2 linked regions of the Saccharomyces cerevisiae S288C genome follow. The protein of the gene in region 1 interacts with the protein of each later gene in a biochemical or structural test. Each region holds a gene or a part of one and is shown in the gene's direction. Other genes may lie near its edges.

Region 1 (5,691 bases):
AGCGGATGGGAGAAAAGGGTTCATTAACTGTGGATCATACAGTAGCCCCGGTTGAATAGCGTTTGTATTTTTTGGTGGAGAGAATGAAACTGCCGAAGATATTTCACTGCTTGTTTCCTGTATGTTATCCTCGTTTAAAATCGTCTTGTTGTAATACTCCTCCAGTTCCCTAATATTGATCTGGTACTGGTAGTCATTTAATGGATTTTGCTCTTGATCTGTGGAAAACAACGACGTTAAGTCAGTCTTCTGAGATTCTGGTCTAGTATATGATAATTGAGCCCACATATTGCGTTATTTTTTACGTATTGAGTTTGCAGCACTGTTTCGCTTTCTCTCAAGATGCACAAATACGACCTACCAAGAGCCTCCAAGTCCCACCAACGATTATGTCTTCTCTCAAATATATATACAAGTTACATGTAGAGAAATCGAGACGAGATTGCTGGCACAATGCACCCAACTGCATGTGCCATTGTGCATCTACACCTCCAAATTAGGGTGTCGATTGGCGTCGTCTTCTTTAATGTGGGTGCATTTTGCGGCGGCGCGACAAATATAGAGAACTGACCAAGGCAGTGCTGTCAAGAAGAGAGAATGGTTACGGCAGCGAAGACGCAAATGGGCTAGGCAGAATGGCATTCAAGTTATGGCTACTGGATGAGGAAACAATATACGAGCACGTGTTCGAACGGTACACACAATTGGAGGGCCAGTCCGGGAAACTGGCGCAGGATTTGGGTATTCAGGATAGAAGGGGCGGTGTGCTAGAGATAACGTTTGAACCCTCTGGGCTGGAAGGCGGCAGAAAAAAAAAGCGAGTGAGAAGAAGAAATAAGGCTAGTAGTGTTGAAGAAGATCAGAATGTTGCTGTGGATAGCTATCATGTTAGCGTGGGGCAGTCCATATCAAGCTTGCGCTCGTCCAGAGACAACGGAAACTCCACCACAGGATACGTTTTGTGGTCTACCACACCTTTCTTCATCAACTGGCTGCTGTATAGTACTAGCGCTGCACCTTTCCGTCTTGGGAGTCAGGTGGAAGTAACCTGCGGGTCTTCTTGCGAGGGGCACAAGCTTGAGTTGCCCAGGCTGGTCGACCTCACGGGCGCTGATCGCGGCAAGAGAGGTATCTTGGAACTTGGAGCAGGAATATCAGGTATTTTGCCCGTGATTCTTGGTAACTTCGTCGACACCTACGTGTCGACAGATCAGAAGGGCATTCTTAATAAATTAAAAGATAACATCATGGAAAACTTATCACAGTTGACCAGAAAGCGGTGCATTTCCCGATCACTAAGATTGGAACTTCCCACCGTCGAACCAGTTGGCGACGCTGATATCACCGCAGCGTCACTTCCATCTAAGTCTACGTTGCATTTGGAAGTAGCCGCTCTAGACTGGGAGAAGATAAACTTGCAAGACAAAAAGACCCACTCTCTGCATCCTGAGTTGTCACTCATAGGTGAAACATGTTCTTCCGTGTACGTTATAGCTATGGATGTCATATACAACGAGTACCTGATAGATCCGTTTCTGAAGACGCTCAAGCAACTCAAACACTGGTTACAAACTACCTACAATTTGCAATTCCATGTCCTCGTGGGGATACACTTGCGGTCACAAGAGGTGACAACACTGTTCTTGGAGAAAGCCATCATAGAATATGACTTCACGGTTTATGATATCGTTGACCAGGTCATACAAGAGTCCCGTTTTAACTTTTATCTTATCACCTAGTCCCATATATAATAATAGAAACAATATAATGCTGATAATCTTATTTTTCTTTGCGATGCGGCAGTGCCTCTTCCCCTCCGTACGGATTGGGAAGATTTTCATTTTTGATTAGCAAGGGCACTAAGCCAACTCTGTGTGATATAGCTAATAATCTAAAAGCTGCTGGATCCGTTATCGTCAAGATAAAGCGGACTTAGCGATTTACATAGGATCACACTTTCTACACACATTTGATTTTTAAGCTTCATTTTCCACTGCACTTATTTTTCCCAAGCATCGTGTTTTTTTGTACATTATAAAAAAAAATCCTGAACTTAGCTAGATATTATGGCTATCTGGGAGCAACTAGAAGTCTCAAAGGCGCACGTTGCTTATGCATGTGTTGGTGTCTTTTCATCTATCTTCTCTTTAGTGTCACTTTATGTCAAGGAGAAGCTTTATATTGGTGAGTCCACCGTAGCAGGTATATTTGGGCTAATTGTGGGTCCTGTTTGCTTGAACTGGTTTAATCCTCTGAAATGGGGGAATTCAGACAGTATAACATTAGAGATAACGAGAATAGTATTATGTTTGCAAATTTTTGCCGTTGCCGTGGAACTGCCACGGAAATATATGTTGAAGCATTGGGTATCTGTGACGATGCTATTATTGCCAGTGATGACAGCTGGATGGCTTATTATTGGTCTCTTCGTTTGGATTCTTATACCTGGCTTGAATTTTTCTGCTAGTTTGTTGATATCTGCGTGCATTACCGCAACAGATCCTATTCTGGCGCAGTCGGTCGTCTCCGGTAAGTTTGCCCAAAGAGTACCTGGTCACTTAAGAAATCTACTGTCTGCAGAGTCAGGCTGCAATGATGGTATGGCCTTTCCTTTTTTATTTCTTTCTATGAATTTAATCCTACATCCCGGTAATGGAAGAGAAATTGTCAAAGATTGGATTTGCGTTACTATCCTGTATGAGTGTTTGTTTGGATGCTTGCTAGGTTGCTTCATTGGTTATGTAGGCAGAATCACCATCAGGTTTGCCGAAAAGAAAAACATTATCGATCGTGAGTCGTTCTTAGCATTTTACGTTGTCCTGGCGTTCATGTGTGCTGGGTTCGGCTCCATTTTGGGTGTGGATGACCTATTGGTATCATTTGCAGCCGGTGCGACTTTCGCTTGGGATGGGTGGTTTTCTCAAAAGACACAAGAAAGTAATGTTTCTACCGTGATTGATTTGCTACTAAACTATGCGTATTTTATCTATTTTGGTGCCATTATACCTTGGAGTCAATTCAACAACGGTGAAATTGGCACAAACGTCTGGCGTTTAATTATACTTTCGATAGTGGTCATCTTTTTACGTAGGATCCCTGCAGTCATGATATTAAGACCTCTTATACCTGATATAAAATCGTGGCGTGAGGCACTTTTTGTGGGCCATTTTGGTCCTATTGGTGTAGGTGCAATTTTTGCCGCTATACTAGCTCGTGGAGAATTAGAGTCTACCTTTAGTGACGAACCCACTCCTTTAAATGTTGTACCATCAAAAGAGGAAAGTAAACATTGGCAGCTGATAGCCTGTATATGGCCAATAACTTGTTTTTTCATTGTTACTTCTATCATAGTTCATGGTTCTTCAGTTGCAATCATAACTCTAGGTCGTCATTTGAACACGATAACGTTAACCAAAACATTCACTACACACACCACCAATGGTGATAATGGGAAAAGTTCATGGATGCAAAGGTTGCCATCGTTGGATAAAGCTGGACGATCATTTTCATTGCATCGTATGGATACTCAAATGACTTTATCAGGGGATGAAGGTGAAGCAGAAGAAGGAGGAGGTCGTAAGGGACTAGCAGGAGGTGAAGATGAAGAAGGATTAAACAATGATCAAATTGGTAGCGTCGCAACGAGCGGAATTCCTGCAAGACCCGCTGGTGGTATGCCAAGGAGGAGGAAATTGTCAAGAAAAGAGAAAAGATTGAACAGAAGACAGAAACTGAGAAACAAAGGTAGAGAAATATTTTCATCAAGATCTAAAAATGAAATGTATGATGACGATGAGTTGAATGATCTGGGACGAGAAAGGTTGCAAAAAGAAAAGGAAGCACGCGCCGCCACATTTGCATTGAGCACAGCCGTCAATACACAACGTAATGAGGAGATTGGAATGGGTGGAGATGAAGAAGAAGATGAGTACACACCGGAAAAGGAATATAGCGATAATTACAATAACACACCAAGTTTTGAGTCGTCTGAAAGATCTTCATCTCTCCGAGGAAGAACTTACGTACCAAGAAACCGTTACGATGGAGAAGAGACAGAAAGCGAGATTGAAAGCGAAGACGAGATGGAAAATGAAAGTGAAAGATCAATGGCCAGTAGTGAAGAGAGGAGAATTCGAAAAATGAAAGAGGAAGAAATGAAACCTGGTACTGCTTATTTAGATGGTAATAGAATGATTATTGAAAATAAGCAAGGTGAAATCTTGAATCAAGTAGATATCGAGGATCGCAATGAGGCGAGAGATGACGAAGTTAGTGTTGATAGTACAGCCCATTCAAGTTTAACTACCACAATGACCAATCTATCCAGTAGTAGTGGGGGAAGGTTAAAGAGAATTTTAACTCCCACATCTTTAGGAAAGATACATTCATTGGTTGATAAAGGAAAGGATAAAAATAAAAACAGCAAGTATCATGCATTTAAAATAGACAATCTGTTAATCATCGAGAATGAGGACGGTGATGTTATAAAAAGATACAAGATAAATCCTCATAAATCTGATGATGATAAAAGTAAAAACCGCCCAAGAAACGATAGTGTTGTATCAAGAGCTTTAACAGCAGTAGGACTAAAGAGCAAAGCGAACAGCGGCGTACCGCCTCCAGTAGATGAAGAAAAAGCCATCGAAGGACCCTCCAGGAAGGGCCCAGGGATGTTAAAGAAAAGGACATTAACACCTGCGCCACCGAGAGGAGTTCAAGATTCCTTAGATCTGGAAGATGAACCTTCATCTGAGGAGGATTTAGGTGATAGTTATAACATGGACGATAGTGAAGATTACGACGATAATGCATATGAATCAGAAACTGAATTCGAAAGACAAAGAAGGTTAAATGCGTTAGGTGAGATGACGGCACCAGCGGATCAAGATGACGAAGAGTTGCCGCCCTTACCTGTGGAGGCACAAACAGGAAACGATGGTCCAGGTACAGCGGAAGGAAAAAAAAAGCAAAAGAGTGCTGCTGTTAAGTCGGCGCTATCAAAAACGCTTGGTCTCAATAAGTAATTTATTAATACACAAAGATATATTATTTTAGTATATATATAAACGAAATGCCTTTTTTATTTACATGTGTCGGAAATAGAGTAGATGCGGTAAAGAGGGGGAGGGGGGGGGGGTATGCGGTTTTGTCATTACTCTTTTCCGTTAAACTTAAAAGCTTAAAACATCATTGATAAAGGTTTTTAGTGAGGTTTCACTGGGGTTCACATTGATGAAATCTAATTGTCTGTAGGAGCCATTGTTCAAAAATCCGCGGCTGATATCTGAATATTGAATGATGTATTTATCATCTTGGGCAGTGTTCGTAGGAAATCGTAAATTCAAGACACGATGGGTCAAAACATCAGTCAATTGGTATTGCTGTATTAGGTTATCTGGTAAAGAAATGTTGATTTTTTTCATAAGATTCTGATATTTGTTTAACTTCCAGTGTGACTTGAGAAGAAATTCTTGGAGGCCTTTTTGTTCAGATAACCAAGCATCCGGATTGGTCTGGTCGAAATCAGGTAAAAGATCTTGAATGTAATCTGACGTGATCTTATAGTCTGTCTGGCATTGTGGAGTTCTTAAGATAACAGAATTTTCTTGTAATTTCAAAAGAGGCCTCATTGAGGTGGTAACAATGTTATCGAATTCGTCAATCTCGAACCAAATCTGCAAAAAAGGGGAC
Region 2 (3,553 bases), on another chromosome or scaffold:
GTTGGGATTCCACTGTTGGTAAACGCAATAATATTAGGTATACAGAATATACTAGAGGTTTTTCTTCGAGGATCTTGGGATCCAAAATAGGGAATCGGTATTTCTGCATAATATTGCTATTATTTCTCCTTCTATTTTACATGCTTCATTATCCTATTACATTATCTAGCTATGCAATTCAGCTCTCATTAAGTCTAATGACTGTTTTTCAATTGTTGTATAATCTTCTTATACCTCATTTGATAATATAGCAATAATATAAAATAGTACTCTATAGGTTATAGGAGTCTTAATACAATGAGCGCGCCATTATCGTTCTGTAAAGTAAATAGTCATTCACATAACGAGCTAATAAAAATCTCCAGATGGCACACATAGTGTATGGCAACATCAATGAGAAGAATAAGGTCTTCGAGGAATAAATTGTTCTAATCATGACAAAAACTACATAACAGAAGACTGAAAGACTGCATTAAAAAAATATTATTAGCATGAACACTAGTCAAAAAATGACACTAAGATTTCATTCCAACACTACATTTTTTCGGAAAACGTTTTATTGAAGTACTGCTTTATGGTCAGCACGTATCGCTTCATATATGATAACCTTACACAGTATCTTTCCGAAAAATCATGAAACGAAGTAACACAGCATCAATTTCTGTGAGAAATAGACAAAGATGTTTCAAAAGTTCCAACATATAGTGAGCATCGTTCATATACCTCGTACAAATCAAATTTGTCTCTTGGAATACCGAAAATTAGCCGCTCAAACACTCTCCGTTGTTAATGACAATTACACCATAGCCGCTGCCGTAGAAAATGCACGGTCTTCCGTGACGAGAAGATTCGGGGGCGAATCGCATAGATCGCTCTTTCTCCTCTTTCTCAATTCTGTCTTATCTGTATTTATAACATGAGCTCATAAACAAAGTCCCTGTTTATATATATTGATGACTTATATATCTTTCGCTTCAGCTTCTTCCCTCATTTCTACTTAATATTATCTTTTGAAATTAGCGCGATCAATTGCATTCTTTTCCACACCACCTTCAAATTTAAGAATTCATATTTGAATCGAACCGTATGTTTTACCTCTCAATAACTTGTTTCATTAATAGCTCCTTCCACAACCACCTTCATCTTCTCTGATTTGAATTATTACCGACATGAATGTTACTCTCCTGAAAATGTTAATTATATCAACTTAACAGGCCTTGAAAGTGAAGTGTTATAGTTTCTCTTCCTTTGTTTTTCCCACTTTCTTTTTTTTATATATATCTTATATTGGTTTAAGCACAGCGGATTGCTTTCTTCTAATACAAGAACTAGAACATAGGTCCACCCGTGTGATGTTGCATTCTGAAATGTTTAGTTATCTCTGTCAGAACAGCGAGGTAACACTTATTTTTGTTACGACCAATCCGTAATTCAAGCGTGGGTATTCATATGACCAGAGATAATAATACAGCGAATACTATTGAAATCGTCCCTTTTTTGTTTAGGAAGAACGGACAAATCGGTCGTCTGCTCGAAATGATTAGTAGTGTGTCACCCGGATCAGCAAAATGACACACACGAAATACGAGGAAAAAGTCGGTCGAAAGGGGCAAATGTTATTATAAGTCCCTCCAGTAGTCTTTTTTTTTTCAAATATTCATCATCAAAGGTTACGAAATCTTTTGAGCTATCTTAAACATTCGTTCTTTTTATCAAATTTCAATTACTAACTTATTTTTTCAAAAAAAATTGCCTCTCCCGGTTTTTAATCATTATTTTTTTCGATTGATTAAGGGGGAAAAGCAAAGAACGAGAAAACTTGGACAGAAGGTTAATACTCTGACAATTTCAAAACGAAGTAAAAAGAAAAATTATCAAATCAACAAAAAGTACCCGTTACAACAAAAAAAATGTCCCAAACTCGTGAAGATTCTGTTTACCTAGCTAAATTAGCTGAACAAGCCGAACGTTATGAAGAAATGGTCGAAAACATGAAGGCCGTTGCTTCATCAGGTCAAGAGTTATCTGTCGAAGAACGGAATCTATTGTCGGTTGCTTACAAGAACGTCATCGGTGCTCGCCGTGCTTCATGGAGAATAGTTTCTTCGATCGAACAAAAAGAAGAATCAAAGGAGAAATCTGAACATCAAGTTGAATTAATCCGTTCTTACCGTTCTAAAATTGAAACTGAATTGACCAAAATCTCTGACGACATTTTATCTGTGTTAGATTCTCATTTAATCCCTTCTGCTACTACTGGTGAGTCTAAAGTATTTTACTATAAGATGAAGGGTGACTACCACCGTTATTTAGCTGAATTTTCCAGCGGAGATGCAAGAGAAAAGGCAACCAACTCCTCTTTGGAGGCTTATAAAACCGCTTCCGAAATCGCCACAACTGAATTGCCTCCAACTCACCCAATTCGTTTAGGTCTAGCTTTGAATTTCTCCGTCTTCTATTACGAAATTCAAAACTCTCCTGATAAGGCTTGCCACTTGGCCAAACAAGCCTTTGATGATGCTATTGCTGAGTTAGATACTTTATCTGAAGAATCATACAAGGATAGCACTTTGATCATGCAATTATTAAGGGACAACTTGACCTTATGGACCTCTGATATTTCTGAATCTGGTCAAGAAGATCAACAACAACAACAACAACAGCAACAGCAACAGCAACAACAGCAACAACAAGCTCCAGCTGAACAAACTCAAGGTGAACCAACCAAATAAGAGCGCTGAGAAATACAAGGGGAAATGAAGATTTACCACTCCAGTTTTCTTGCTAACGAAAATGAATGCAATTCGATTTTGATACTTTTTTTAGGGGAAGAGATAATATCTTCGTCTAATACAAATTCACAAAATTTTCAATTTTACCAACTACAAAATATACAAACCTCTAAAAAAATAGTTTCTTAATATATAACATAAAATAGTTTTTCTGTTACTATTACTTCTATCACTGTTTTCTTCGTGTATTCTTATATTTTGGCTATCGTTCAGAGTTGAGACAATTTGCGAGAGTAATTGAGTAGTAATTTTCGTATGTTTTAAAATAAGTTCCTTCCATTGTATACGCACCTCTTTCTTCTGTTTTCCTTTGAATCTTGATCTACCTTACCTATTGAAGGTGAAGGCATCTTTTCTCATTTGATGAAACAGCGCTCCCTGGGTGTAGGGGGGCGGGGGTATAGTAGCGTAAATCCGCAACGGAAAAATACTTCGAGTGGAAAACTATGACCATTAATATGTATGTCTTACAAGAGAGGACAATAAACAAAGTCAAATAACCACAAGGGATCACAAACGAAAGGATGTCAGTTATTCCTCCAAAATTCTTCAAGATTGCAAATATATCAATTGGCTGCATAGACATTATTGCTGCCCTTTCACAATTGACGTATATTTTCACCAATTTAAACGTCTTCCTCTTGGCAGTTTACGGACTGGCACTCTCCGTACCTATCGTCTATCTGGAGTTCAAGGTTCCGTCAAATCTTTACAGGTATGCTTCCTTTTACTTTAGTTTTCTTGGAAGGGGTTTATCTTAT

What was found.
Region 2: the proteins of NHA1 (region 1) and BMH2 interact in a test that uses a peptide from one of them, tested with the Saccharomyces cerevisiae proteins (one study listed by BioGRID).

The regions. Positions count from the first base shown.
Region 1 is NC_001144.5:416,371-422,061, forward strand, and holds NHA1 (Nha1p), read left to right. Parts: upstream 1-2,066; coding exon 2,067-5,024; downstream 5,025-5,691. Other genes in the region: TIS11 (Tis11p), read right to left, coding at 1-288; RKM5 (S-adenosylmethionine-dependent methyltransferase), read left to right, coding at 636-1,739; SLS1 (Sls1p), read right to left, coding at 5,172-5,691. UniProt on the Saccharomyces cerevisiae protein: Sodium export from cell, takes up external protons in exchange for internal sodium ions. Also capable of exporting potassium ions.
Region 2 is NC_001136.10:651,697-655,249, forward strand, and holds BMH2 (14-3-3 family protein BMH2), read left to right. Parts: upstream 1-1,910; coding exon 1,911-2,732; downstream 2,733-3,553. Other genes in the region: TVP15 (Tvp15p), read left to right, coding at 3,317-3,553.